Linked DNA regions of Mytilus edulis. The protein of the gene in region 2 interacts with the protein of the main gene of each other region in a pairwise test. Links are inferred from orthologs where the notes say so. Each region holds a gene or a part of one and is shown on either strand. Other genes may lie near its edges.

The links.
Region 1: the proteins of abl interactor 1-like (region 2) and actin-binding protein WASF2-like interact in a two-hybrid assay, tested with the Drosophila melanogaster proteins (2 studies listed by BioGRID, with this or other methods). The link is inferred for Mytilus edulis from reciprocal best matches to the Drosophila melanogaster genes Abi and SCAR.

Annotation. Positions count from the first base shown.
Region 1 is NC_092353.1:60,953,185-60,959,505, reverse strand, and holds the start of actin-binding protein WASF2-like, read right to left. Parts: upstream 3,607-6,321; 5' UTR 3,513-3,606; intron 1-3,512. Other genes in the region: pre-mRNA-processing factor 17-like, read left to right, coding at 3,896-4,054.
Region 2 is NC_092345.1:44,931,531-44,937,851, reverse strand, and holds the start of abl interactor 1-like, read left to right. Parts: upstream 1-2,103; 5' UTR 2,104-2,141; coding exon 2,142-2,258; intron 2,259-6,321.

The DNA of each region.
Region 1 (6,321 bases), on a different chromosome or scaffold from region 2:
AAGTTATAGACGACAGTCTTTTAAGTTGGATGATGACAATGCATATCTTCGAAAAAAAAATTTATCTTCCATTTCTACGATCGATTGTGAGAATGAATCGACGTAATAGGGAGATAATTTTGACGAATGTATCGTATATTTACAGGTAAGGAAACATGTGAGAATAATTGTCATGTGATGTTTTAAAATTTAAGGTCCTTTACCTCAAACATAACGTCCAATTAAATTTAAGTATCATGATGTACACAAGCTGAAACCCCGCCTATCTTAATTGCCATGCTTGAGCAAACATTGATTCAAACAAAGCAAGCAAGCCAAACAAAGATTTGTCTTGCTAGCATTAATGTAAAAGCTGTAATAACAGAGAGCAGTCCCTTTGAACATGTTGAACATGTTGAATATTGTGTATTCAATAATTTTTCAATTGTCAACGTACTAATTTTCATGGATTTGAGGAAAACTCGCATTTTCGTGGATATTTAATTTTGTGGTTTTGCTTAAGGTTGCATACATTACAATAAAAAATGTGTAATTCATTTCACATTTCAAGTTGTGGTTTCTCCAGAGTCATGAGATTCAAAGTGATACTTGATCTGGTATTTTGATCGCAAGCAGCAACCCAAATGACCTATTCAAAAATGGCTGTTGCAGTGCCTATGATATAAACATGGTTTATTTTACATCCTTCATCAAATGTACCCACAGCCAATTTCTAGTACGTTTTTTCTGGTACTGGTTTCTGAAATTTATTATAAACAAACCAAAGCGGCAAGCTACAATTTGTTATATTTCAGGGAAAATTTACTGTAGGACAGTTCAGGGATCTCCATGGATGAAAATTGAACGATGGAGGAACTTTCACCATTACAAACAGTGTCTATGCTGTACAGTGTAGCACGATCGGAAGTATTGTATACCTCCATACAAGGAATGATGAACATGCTAATTCATTGCTTATTTAAATTATATTTATTTGAATTTTCATTATAGAATTAGAAGTACAATGTATCAATATTTTCATTTATTGCCGTTTTTAACCATTCAAATGCCAAGTCTTCATGGTCCCCTTAGTCGAGAATGACCAAAAGCTGTCATGAAGGTCCCCATGTAGATTTCTTGTATTTTTGGTAATTGTTATGGGGGTTAAAAATCATATGATGTGGAGCTTATTTTTCATGGACACTGTCAAATTCATAACCCATTAACGGTATGGCTGATTTGCAGCAACAACAAAACGATTCGTACGGGTTATGTTAAAGGTTAAAGAGATTTGTAAAGCAAACGTTGACAAATGAAAAGGTTTTTAATGACTGTATCTGGCAAATTGATGCTGTGCAACATCCATCTTTCGAGTCTGAATACAAACCGGAAACACGGATGTATCAATATTGATTGTAATATACAAAATGAATTCGGAATTACGATACGATATTTCTTTACAGGAAATATTTAAGTTTTTACTTTTAAACTTTTAAAGTAATTCTAAATTATCGTTACAGCAGTACTTGAGTTAGTTGCAATGAAATAAATATTTACTGTTTTGCGTCTTATTTTGTACTTCTTAAAAAAGGGGGATGCTAATTGCGTAAGTCAAGAAAAAGCATGTGTTTCGACATTTTAAACTGTTTTCTTTGTAACTGTATTATTAATTTATTTATTTAATCTAAATTATCATAATCATCGATCATTTGCTGAAACTTAGTTGATTAATTCGACAAATGGATCGTCTATCCTCAGATAGTATTCTCCTGTCTGATTTGTTGATCTACCTGTACAAGCTCAGGTACAAGTGATTAGCGATCTTAATCCGGATATCCCTCAGGCGTTAGAACTGTATTGGATTATAACATAAAAAGCCTAAGGGTTATGCAATTACATGCATTTGATTATAAATGATAAAAAAAATAGTGTCGGGCTACAAAAAATGATGAAGTTTTGAACGATGGCGGAAGACAATTTAACGATGGCGCGAGTCATTTGACGATGGTGCGAGTCATTTGACGATGGTGCAAGTCATTTGACGATGGCGCAAGACATTTGAAAGATGGGGGGGCAGTGATATTGTTGTCTTTTTTCAAAACTACCTCTACCGTTTTTTATTGGGAAAAACGATATTTTTTATTGAAATTGGGAAATTTGTATATTTTATTCTAAACACATCTCCGATTTTTTACTGACCTTTGCTGTCTTTTTTGCACTTTTTTTTCGTGGATATTTTGGTTGTCAGACATTTTGAACCTGAAAGGTACTTTTCGGAGAGGGGAAAGAAACAGAAGCAATGTTGGTACTTAAATGCATTGAAAACCACTTGTGTTACAAGCACCATATTGATTCTGATCAGAAAACCGGATCTCAAAAGTGCTTTCTAATATCAAAATAATGACATGAATACGATATTTACAAACATTACTATCAATGCCTTCACTGTTTTGGGAAAAAGTTTAACTTTTTGGTAGGAATTTTAAGCCATTTTTTTTAGTGATTGGGAATTTCCTCTAGGGGAAAAAGCCGAATATCGGCTGTAATTTGAGGCAAACAATATCACTGGGGGGGGGGGGGGGGGGGCCATCGTTAAACAGGCCATGGAAATCCCTGGGACTGACATGTCATTCATGACAGTCTTACTGTCAAAGGTCAAAATAAATTTTAGCAAACTCTGGTTCCTTTAATTTGATACCACTATAACCATGAAAATTTGTAATCAAAGTCATACATGTCATCATGGTCATAACAATGAATTCAGTGTACTGTTCATATATATCTTATAATAAAATTTGTTGCAAGTATATAATGCATCTCAGCTGCATCTGTCTCATTTTATTTTTAAAAACCGCCATACATGATATTATTGTTCATGTTGTTAGTTCCGTCTGTACTAAAATCATAATTCCCTAGTGAGATTGGATTTAGCTATGTAAGTATACTCGCTGCATTGTTTCACAGAGGTTCAGGTTAAGACAAAGTGATTAAGAATTATGAACAACATTACAATTGATTGCCCAGCGACAGCATGGAACAGGTGACTGGCCCAAGTGACATTAGTGATGATGCCCTAAAAACGCAAAAATGATGTTCAATATGACAATTAGACCAAAGTTTTGACAGAAATGCAGCCAACTTAAGAGTGGTCTTTCACATCACTGATAACCAATTCAGGACTACACCATTATTTGTGGTTTACTCTTTACAAAAATTTATCTGGATAATTTAACATTCCGACCCTAAGCTGCATTGAATGATTGATTACGAATTGAGCTGTGTATTGAGATATGAAGATGCTTTAAGGGATCAGTATGAAAAGATTGAATGTGTAACTATGAACATATTCTTGAAATGATCAAATCTGTCTACATTTCTTGGATTCGACCTGAAAGATGACAGCAGAAAAACAAAAACAGGTCACTGGCACACCCAAGTTTTATAATAAATTTTGAGTAGTTAAGAAAAATGGCATGATTTTTCACGTGGTTATTCGAACAAATGATTCTTTTGTGATATAGAAACATGCTCACCAGTTGCATTCAAACTTCATGATTGGAAAAATGTAAATATTTACGATACAGCATCATCAATCCGGGAAGTCAAGAAAATGGCGATGAAATCTCGTTAATTATCATGCATTCTCATTATCAACGAGACTTGACATAAATTTGATTGAAGTCCTCATTAAGAAAATATTCCTTTCATTCAATTGATTTCTATAATTTACAAAAACTTTAACAAAACCAGACAATAAATGAAAAAATAAAATTTGATATAAAACTTAATTTCATTTACTGCAGTAAACTTTTTGTTCGATACTGTTGTTTACTCATTTAGTTTCCGGTTAATGCTTTTTGAAACGTTTTTTGCCTAGTTTTACTCTTTCAACGCCAATTATTGAAAATGTCCTAAAATGTTGGCACTCCAACAATATAGCAGTGATGAAGACAATTCAGATCATGAAAACAAAGATCATTTAGAGGATCTCACAGCCCATCTCAGACCAATAAATCAGCAAAATGCTATTTCTTCAACGATTCAGTTGAAAGCAGCACCAGAAATATTTACAAAAGTATGACAACCATATTTTGAAAAGTTTTCCAGATAATCTGTTTCCCAAAATTCTAATTTGTATCCTCTTTTATATTTGAATGAGGTGCTACCTGATGTCAGTTACGAGTACCCGTGAGATTGCTTTCAAGACATGACCGCCATATTTCCATGGTTTTACCCTCCCACACAATATCTGGTATGCAAACCGGAGTTAAAACTAGATTGGATACTTCGGGGGCATTAGTAGGTATCAGGTCCGTTCGCGCCCAATACACTTTCGTATTTGCAGCCTACACATTCGCACCTCTCATGTTCGCTCCGGAAGTACGTTCGCGTAGTCTTTAGAAGTGTCAACTTGACATTATAATCTCTCTGTAATTTCGATCATCCTGGTAATTTTATGTCGCTACTGTATAAAACTCATTTGTATATTTGTTTTTATGATGTGGCACTGCAGAGAAAAACAAATAAATAAATAAATAATTAATTAACTAAAAAAAAGTAAACAAATAAATGAATAAATAATTAACCCTTATAAAACCGTAACTATCTATTTTGTGAACCTTCCAGTATCTTTAATAAAGACCCCTAACAAATGTTGAATATCTTCTATGTGATGTTTGTAATTATCATTTTCTGTTGTTGCTAATAATACTTCTGATTCAAGTGTAAGTTTTGATGTTATGAAGTACATGTAGAGTGCAGAGAGGAGTTTTTCTCTAGCCTTCTCATAATTTTCACAATCCAGTAGATAATGGTCAACTATACCTTCGCACCCATTTTTGTCGAGCCTTCGACTTTAGTCGAAAAAGCGAGACTAAGCGATCCTACATTCCTTCGTCGTCGGCGGCGTCCACAAATGTTCACTCTGTGGTTAAAGTTTTTGAAATTTTAATAACTTTCTTAAACTATACTGAATTTCTACCAAACTTGGACAGAAGCTTGTTTATGATCATAAGAAAGTATCCAGAAGTAAATTTTGTAAAAATAAAATTCTATTTTTTCCGTATTTTACTTATAAATGGACTTAGTTTTTCTGCGAGGTAACATTACATTCACTCTGTGGTTAAAGTTTTTAAAATTTTAATAACTTTCATAAACTATCCTTGATTTGTACCATACTTGGACAGAAGCTTGTTTATGATGATAAGATAGTATCAAGAAGAAAATTTTGTGAAAATAAATTTCCGCTTTTCCGTATTTTACTTATAAATGGACTTAGTTTTTCTGCGAGGAAACATTACATTCACTCTGTGGTTAAAGTTTTTAAAATTTTAATCGCGGTGCGCGGTTTGTTTGTAATTTCCATCAATTTAGCAGATAAACTTTTTACTCTGGTAGATTAATCAATGAGTGATCGATTTCTCTTAGAAGAAATTTAAAGGTCTGAGTGAATAGACTATACAGAGAACAATACCTGTTGTATTTGTTCAATGGGACAATAGAACGGCCAAAAGTTTAAATGGACAGGTAACTATCAGGTGAATCTATTGAAAGGTTCAATTGGGTTCGCAATAATGTAAAAAAAAAATATGACATTCCTTGCATGTGTTACTGAGCAAGTGTCGCCTTGGGCCAGAGTAACAAAATAGGATTCAGATTTATAAACAATTAAACAAACATTTAATTTCAATTGTTCACTTATTAAATTTATCCATCTTATTGTAATAATAACAATTTGTATAACCAAAAATAAAGATAATTGTTTTTAACAGCTTGGCTCCTTTGAACTCATGTAAAAAAAATATTCATAGCAATACACTAACCAAAACATGATTAAGATTTTATCAACACAAGAATGAAAAAAAAACGTTGTCAGAATCTCACTTTACTTAGAAACAATGAAAAAAATATATTTATATAGAGCAGTACACTTGCAGTTTCACTGATTAGCAACAAGAAGAATTTTAGCGACAAGAAGCAACAAGAAGAATTTTAGCGACAAGAAGCAACAAGAAGCTATTTAACGACACAAAAACATTTTTTTATTAAAATTATTTATTCCAAATAAATATTAAAAGAATATGCAAAAGAAAAAATTTTTAGCAACAAGAAAGTTAATATTGATAGAAAAAAAATTGAAACATAGATCTAATTGCTACATTTATTTATATGATTTTTATTATCTATTATGTACAACAGCAAGTATTACGTATTATGATATTACTTTTACTTGTGTTTTAGAACAATAATATACAGATATATTTATCTTATAATTTGTTTTTTAAAACTTTCTTTGTATAATATATAATAAACTTGCGAAATGCATTATTTGTACATCATTGT
Region 2 (6,321 bases):
ATTTTTTTCCACCAATCAATATACATTGCGCCCAAAATTTGAGCTACACAATCAAAAAAAGTAAAAACACAAAAATACTGAACTCCGAGGAAAATTCAAAAAGGAAAATCAAAAATCAAAAGGCAAAATCAAAAGTCCAAACACATCAAACGAATGGATAACAACTGTCATATTCCTGACTTGGTACAGGCATTTTCTAATGTAGAAAATGGTGGATTGAACCTGGTTTTATAGCTAGCTAAACCTCTCACTTGTATGACAGTCGCATCAAATTCCATTACATTGTCAACGATGCATGACTGACAAAATAAAGCCCAGTAAATGATTATTAGAATGATTAGAGTGATTAAAGTACATTTAAACAAAAATGTCGGCACATGTATACGATGCTAGATTGAGAACTGGTCAGCCAGAATATTTCAGTTGATACAAATGTATTTACAAAGATTAGTTGGAAACTGATTGAGTCTTAATATACGGAAGTGATTATATAGTTTGAATTTATTATAGTGCAATTTTTATATGGATAAAACACATACACCATTTTGATAAAATTTGGGAAATTTTCTTTTTGGGGGATGTTATATGTATCTTTATTGTATGGTCGTAGCTATGGAAATAGATGTGGTTTTTTATGCTCTTAAGCAAATATAACTTTAGCGGCACGGGGAGGCAAGTATATTTTCCCCCATGTACGTAATACTAATTTAAACAAAGTAATATGTTGGATAATCAACATTGTCATTGACACATCGATCATTCAGTAATTTTGGAAGAAACTGTGACTTGGAGAAAAAAGTAAAATCACAAAAAAAATGAACTTCAAGGAAAATTCAAAAAGGAAAGTCCCCAATCAAATGGTAAAATCAAAAGTTCAAACACATCAAACGAATTGAAAACAACTGTCATATTCCTGACTTGGTACAGGCATTTTCTTATGTAGAAAATGGGGGATTGAACCTGGTTTTATAGCTAGCTAAACTATAAATTATAATTCTTAATATATCATACATGTCCCAGCGAACCGAAACGTGTGTATACTGTATACGCTTAATGTGTCCCCTTACCCCAGTTCCCTAGACTTATGCTTATGGTAGACAACTCCTGGTCGAGTTTTTTTTATTTTTCAAACTACAAAAAAATGATATTTTCTAGAAGTTTTTTTTTTTTTTAAATTGCATATAAAAGTTTAGCGACTCAATTGAGGTTTCAATAAGGCCTTACGTAAAGCTTAATTAAGCAGCATTCATATAATAGATTCCTCTAAATAAATAATGTATTGTTACTGCCGGTTTCTAAAAGTTATTGTGTGAGTTGCTTAGGATCAAGTTTTCTTTTTTAGCACAATATAGGAATTTAGAAAAAAAAGTCAGAAAAAACTACTAAAAGCACTGACTTGCAATATTGATGGAAAAGGCCGTATGTCAGTTTTACTAGGGGGATTAAATGAAAATTGTGAAATATTATGAGGGATCAAGAAATTTTATATGTTTGAATTCAAAATGACCAGCCCCCCTCCCAGGTTAAAAATGATAAGTCCCTTTAGAAATTGATTTAATTGTTTATACCTTTTTTTAAATTAATATATGTTTGTTTTTTATTTAAAGTTTGACTGGTTTACACATAAATTTTACTGTTTCCTATCTCAGTTTCCTGGTAAGATTTGTTCACAGAATGGGATAATATTAGAAGTCATAGGCGGATTTTTTTTTTTGGGGGGGGGGGGCAGGGGGGAAAAATTTGGTTGCTTATATAGGGAATCACTGAAGCGTTACTGGAGCGGGCCCCCTCTTAGGTCAGTCAGTGGGCCCCACTTATGAAAATTTCTGGATCCGCCACTGGAAGTTTCAATTTATTTCTTTTAAACAGATGAATCCAATATTTAATCATATTCATAAATTATTAACATAAAAAACGTGTAGGAAGTGGACCTAGAGTCTTTTGATGCAATATCTGATTTTTATTTAATTCTTACTCCAAGTACAAATTTACACAGCTTAACAATATCATCAAGACCGGAGACGAATATTTTAGGTGGCGAATCTGTCTCTTAGCGATACGCGCCGGTAATAATATATTGGCGTACGCCAAAGTACACTGAAACAAGTTAACCTCAACATAATAAACAGGAAGTAGTAAAAATGGCAGAAGTAACGCAGCTTCTTGATCAAGAAATCCCAGAAGGTCGCCAACATCTACAAGAAAGTTATATAAATCTTGACAAAGTTGCACAGTATTGTAGGGACAATTATCTAAAGGTAGTCCTTTATTTCTTCAAAAACGCCAGTTGCCTGCGAACAACACAGGCTCACAGCTTCCTATTCTCACTCAGTCACAGTCCTCATGAATAGCATAATTGTTAATTCACTCTTGAAGGGGTTCTCATTTTGGGGTCTGGTCCAGGATCCCTCTTATTGTTAAGTGAGAATCCTGTAATCTCAAATGTACTTCTTGTTGCCAAAATAGCGCATGTAATTTCTTGTGTCCCGCAGGACTTCATTTCCCGTTTTCCGCTTAATGATTCTACTTTCAATCGTCACACGATCCAATGACCAATCCCACCTCACGCTTAGACCCCAATGAGACTCACTTAAAATTGGTAAGTACTACAATGTATAAAATGGAAGAGATTGAAAATAAAAACAGAAAAACAGACATGTGCAATTTCTAAATTAACATCAGTCACCACTCCTGTCATTCATTGTTTTATATAATCCCTGAATGAAATATTTTTCACCTAATAAAATGCTAAAACCTTACACATTTGCCAAATAGACCTTTATCATGTTTATTACTATTTGAAAATCTGCTCTGCTTGACCCAAGAATCTGTGCCTCTTGAATATACACCTTATCGCTATTTGTCCGCCATTGCTGGAAATCACACAGGTTCCCGTAAAATTTTGACGTCATAAAACTAAATATCTGACGCCACAATGGAAAAGTGATTGTTGTTGACGTCAAAAGTTCAAGCGGCCGGGTCAGCCGGGATTAGCGATAAGGTGTATTGACATCATACATTTTACAACAATCAATTTACCATTGTCAAATGATTGTGGGGGTCTCATTGGGGGTTCTGATCCCGGATCCGGCTTTCTGTTGTGTCAGATTCCTGTATCCCGTTTACACTATGTATGTAAGCAATTCACATTTTTTTTGTAATTTCCCGTGTCCCGCTAGACTCCATTTCCTGTTTTCACAGCACAAGAATTTGACTTCCATGTGTCACGCTTACAAAAAATCGGCAATCCCGCGTCACGCTTAGACCCCAATGAGACCCACATTGTGGGGTCTGATATTTTCTATTATCAGTGTTCTAGCTAGAAAGTTTGAACAGGGCGCAACGCTCGCCCTTTTTTGTTGACGCCCTAGCTTTTTTCTGTGGTTTCTCTGGCGCCCTGCCGTTTTTATGGCGAAAATCTCGGCATTTCTGCCTTTAAAATACCGACAAATTCGTAATTCTTTCATAAACAGGAAGTTCACCTAGCTGTGTAAACTGTACAATTAAGTGACCCATTAAGTGCATGGCTTCACTTGTCAGCTTTGATGTCAAGTACATTGTTAATTAACAACAATTACCTTAGCTTTTATAGGTCATAAATAATTTTTTAGAACTCAAAAATGTTTGACAAAAAAAAGATTGTTACTTCCCCTTTTTTGTCACCTTTCACAATATTCTTCTTACAGTCAGGGGACTTACTTAAACAAGTGATTTTCTAAATCACTGATTCAAGTAACATTATTTCCATAAAGGTTGGAAGTTAGAGTTTTCTTTCTTTAATAATCGCCTATTTAAGTAGTACAAATTAATCACTAGAAGAAGTGATTTAATATTAGTGTAGCTTTAAATATAGAATACTAATGATCCAGGGACTAATTATGTTTCTAAACAGTAAAACTTATCAGAACCAACATCTGTGTTGTCTAGGATGACCAGGTCATTTCAGGTGATGACCTTGTACTGAATCTAGGATAATGACATAAAAATCACTTGTTTAAGTATCAGACCTGAATTTCCTTCCCAAAAATCACTTCTTTAAGTATCATTCTTTTAATAACCTCCACTAATTTCAACACCCCCGAACAGTGAAATTTTTATCGCGAACAGTAGCATTTTATTACACAATCTGAAAGATGAAACCTTGAACTTCACAGGAAAAATACCCTCACTGCTGTGAAAAATCTTTTAAGAAAGTATCAGTTCATTATGTAAAGCCATTATTATAGCATTTTTTCAACTAAAGTAGAATTTTCAGGTAAATGAAAGCATCAAAGGCATAAAACTTACTAATTAAAAGATGTTACTTAAACCTATGTGTTTAAAATTTTGAAAAAACTACAAAATCCCAATTTGTGACAAAACCTCGAATTTGCTACTCAAATAAGTGATTTAAAAATCACTTATTTGAGTAAGTCCCCTGACTGTCTTAAGTTTTATGTTCTTTTTAAAAAAAAAGATTGAATTAATAACAAATTGAATGCAAATGCATTTTAAAGTATAACTTTTAATTAAGTTTACCTAAAAAACCTGAATAATAAATATTTTTAAAATTATTTTTCACATCTTCACTTCCATTGATTGATTTATGAAGTGCATTAAAAAATAATTTGAAATAAGAGTGTTTTCCAATTGCCTTGACTGTCAACAGTTGCTCTTGGCATTGTACATTATGCCCTTTAAACAAAAGTAAATGCAACAAAATATTTGAGGTGATTGAGTGAGTAAATGTACATTGTAGATGATACCCTGATATTAAAAGTTAAACATAAAACATGGTGCCATTATTTAAAATTTATTACTCAATTTTTACTGAAAATTGATAATACCATAGTGCCTTAGTTATATACTAATTAATTATAACACATAAATAATTGCCCTTTTTAATGACATGTACTCGTTAAATTGCCCTTTTTAAATCCTGGCTAGAACACTGATTATGACATCAAAATTTTCAGTGATGTCCATGCCAGTAAGGGCTGAAAAATAGATAAAGATGTACATGATATAGGCCACTTCACAGTTAAAAATGTATTTCAGCCATATTGAATAGGGGCAGATTGTTTTGGATAGAAGTGATAGAAGTGGAAATAGTATGAAAGTATGGAAATACTATATAGATAATTATAAGAAAATGTGATATGAGTGCCAATGAGACAACTAACCTTTCAAGTCACAATTTGCAAAAGAAAAACCCTTAGACAGTGGCAGATCGAGATTTTCATAAGAGGGGGGGGCTTCAGTCTTGCTTCAGTGATTCACTATAAAATCAACCAAGTTTTCCCCTTGAAAAGGAGGAGGCTCAGGCCCCCTGGATCTGGCTATGCTATAGGTCAAAGTACAGTCTTCAACATGGAACCTTGGCTCACATGGAACAGCAAGCTATATAATATAATAAAGGACCCCAAAATGATCATGATGATGAGTGTAAGACCATTCAAACAAAATCAACGGTCTTAGCTATATTATAAACGAGAAACACTTACATGTATGAACCACATCAACAAACCAGGAACCACATCAACAAACAACAACTACTGAACATCAGGTTCCTGATTTTTGACAGTTGCAAACAAATCCAGCAGGTTTAAACATTTTAATATTTCACCCTTACCTGAAACAAAATTGTAACATCAAAACATAGAATAACACTATAAAAAATATCAATTGAATTGGCTTAACTCAATCAAAAGACATATTAACCATTTGTTAACACCTGTGAACACACACTGAACGAATAAATTTGATCTATGACACATTGTAAATACAAAAGCAATAAAATAAGGCCATTAAGGGGCGAATAAATGAAGGCAACAATTAATATCGCTGTGAAATTTCAGAAAGTCAATCATGACCTTGCTGCTAATTAGAATAATGTACACTGGTAAATGAAAAAAAAAATTTTTGTAAGGTATACATTATAAATGGAAAGGAAATATTATTTACAAAATAAATAATATACATGTTTCCTATCAACAGTTTTGTCTAAATGATGTAGTTCCTTATATATCATGTATGTATATAACCATTTTTACCTCCATTATAAAAATCTGTCCATATCTGCTCCTATTTTTAGTTCAAGTTTAGCAAACAAAGGTGTCTTAATTTATTGTTTAATATACAGAAACTAAAACCTATTCAAAGACTTATAATTTTGTACACCAAAGATGTATTTCCACTAGGAGGCTCTACAAAAGACTCATCATTGAAGCTGGAATCAAAAGGCATAAAAGGCCAAAAAGAATCTGAAATTCATTCAGCATTTTCGATATAAATTAATATAATTATTCATATTCACTCACTTTGCAAGGTTCTCCCTAGTTT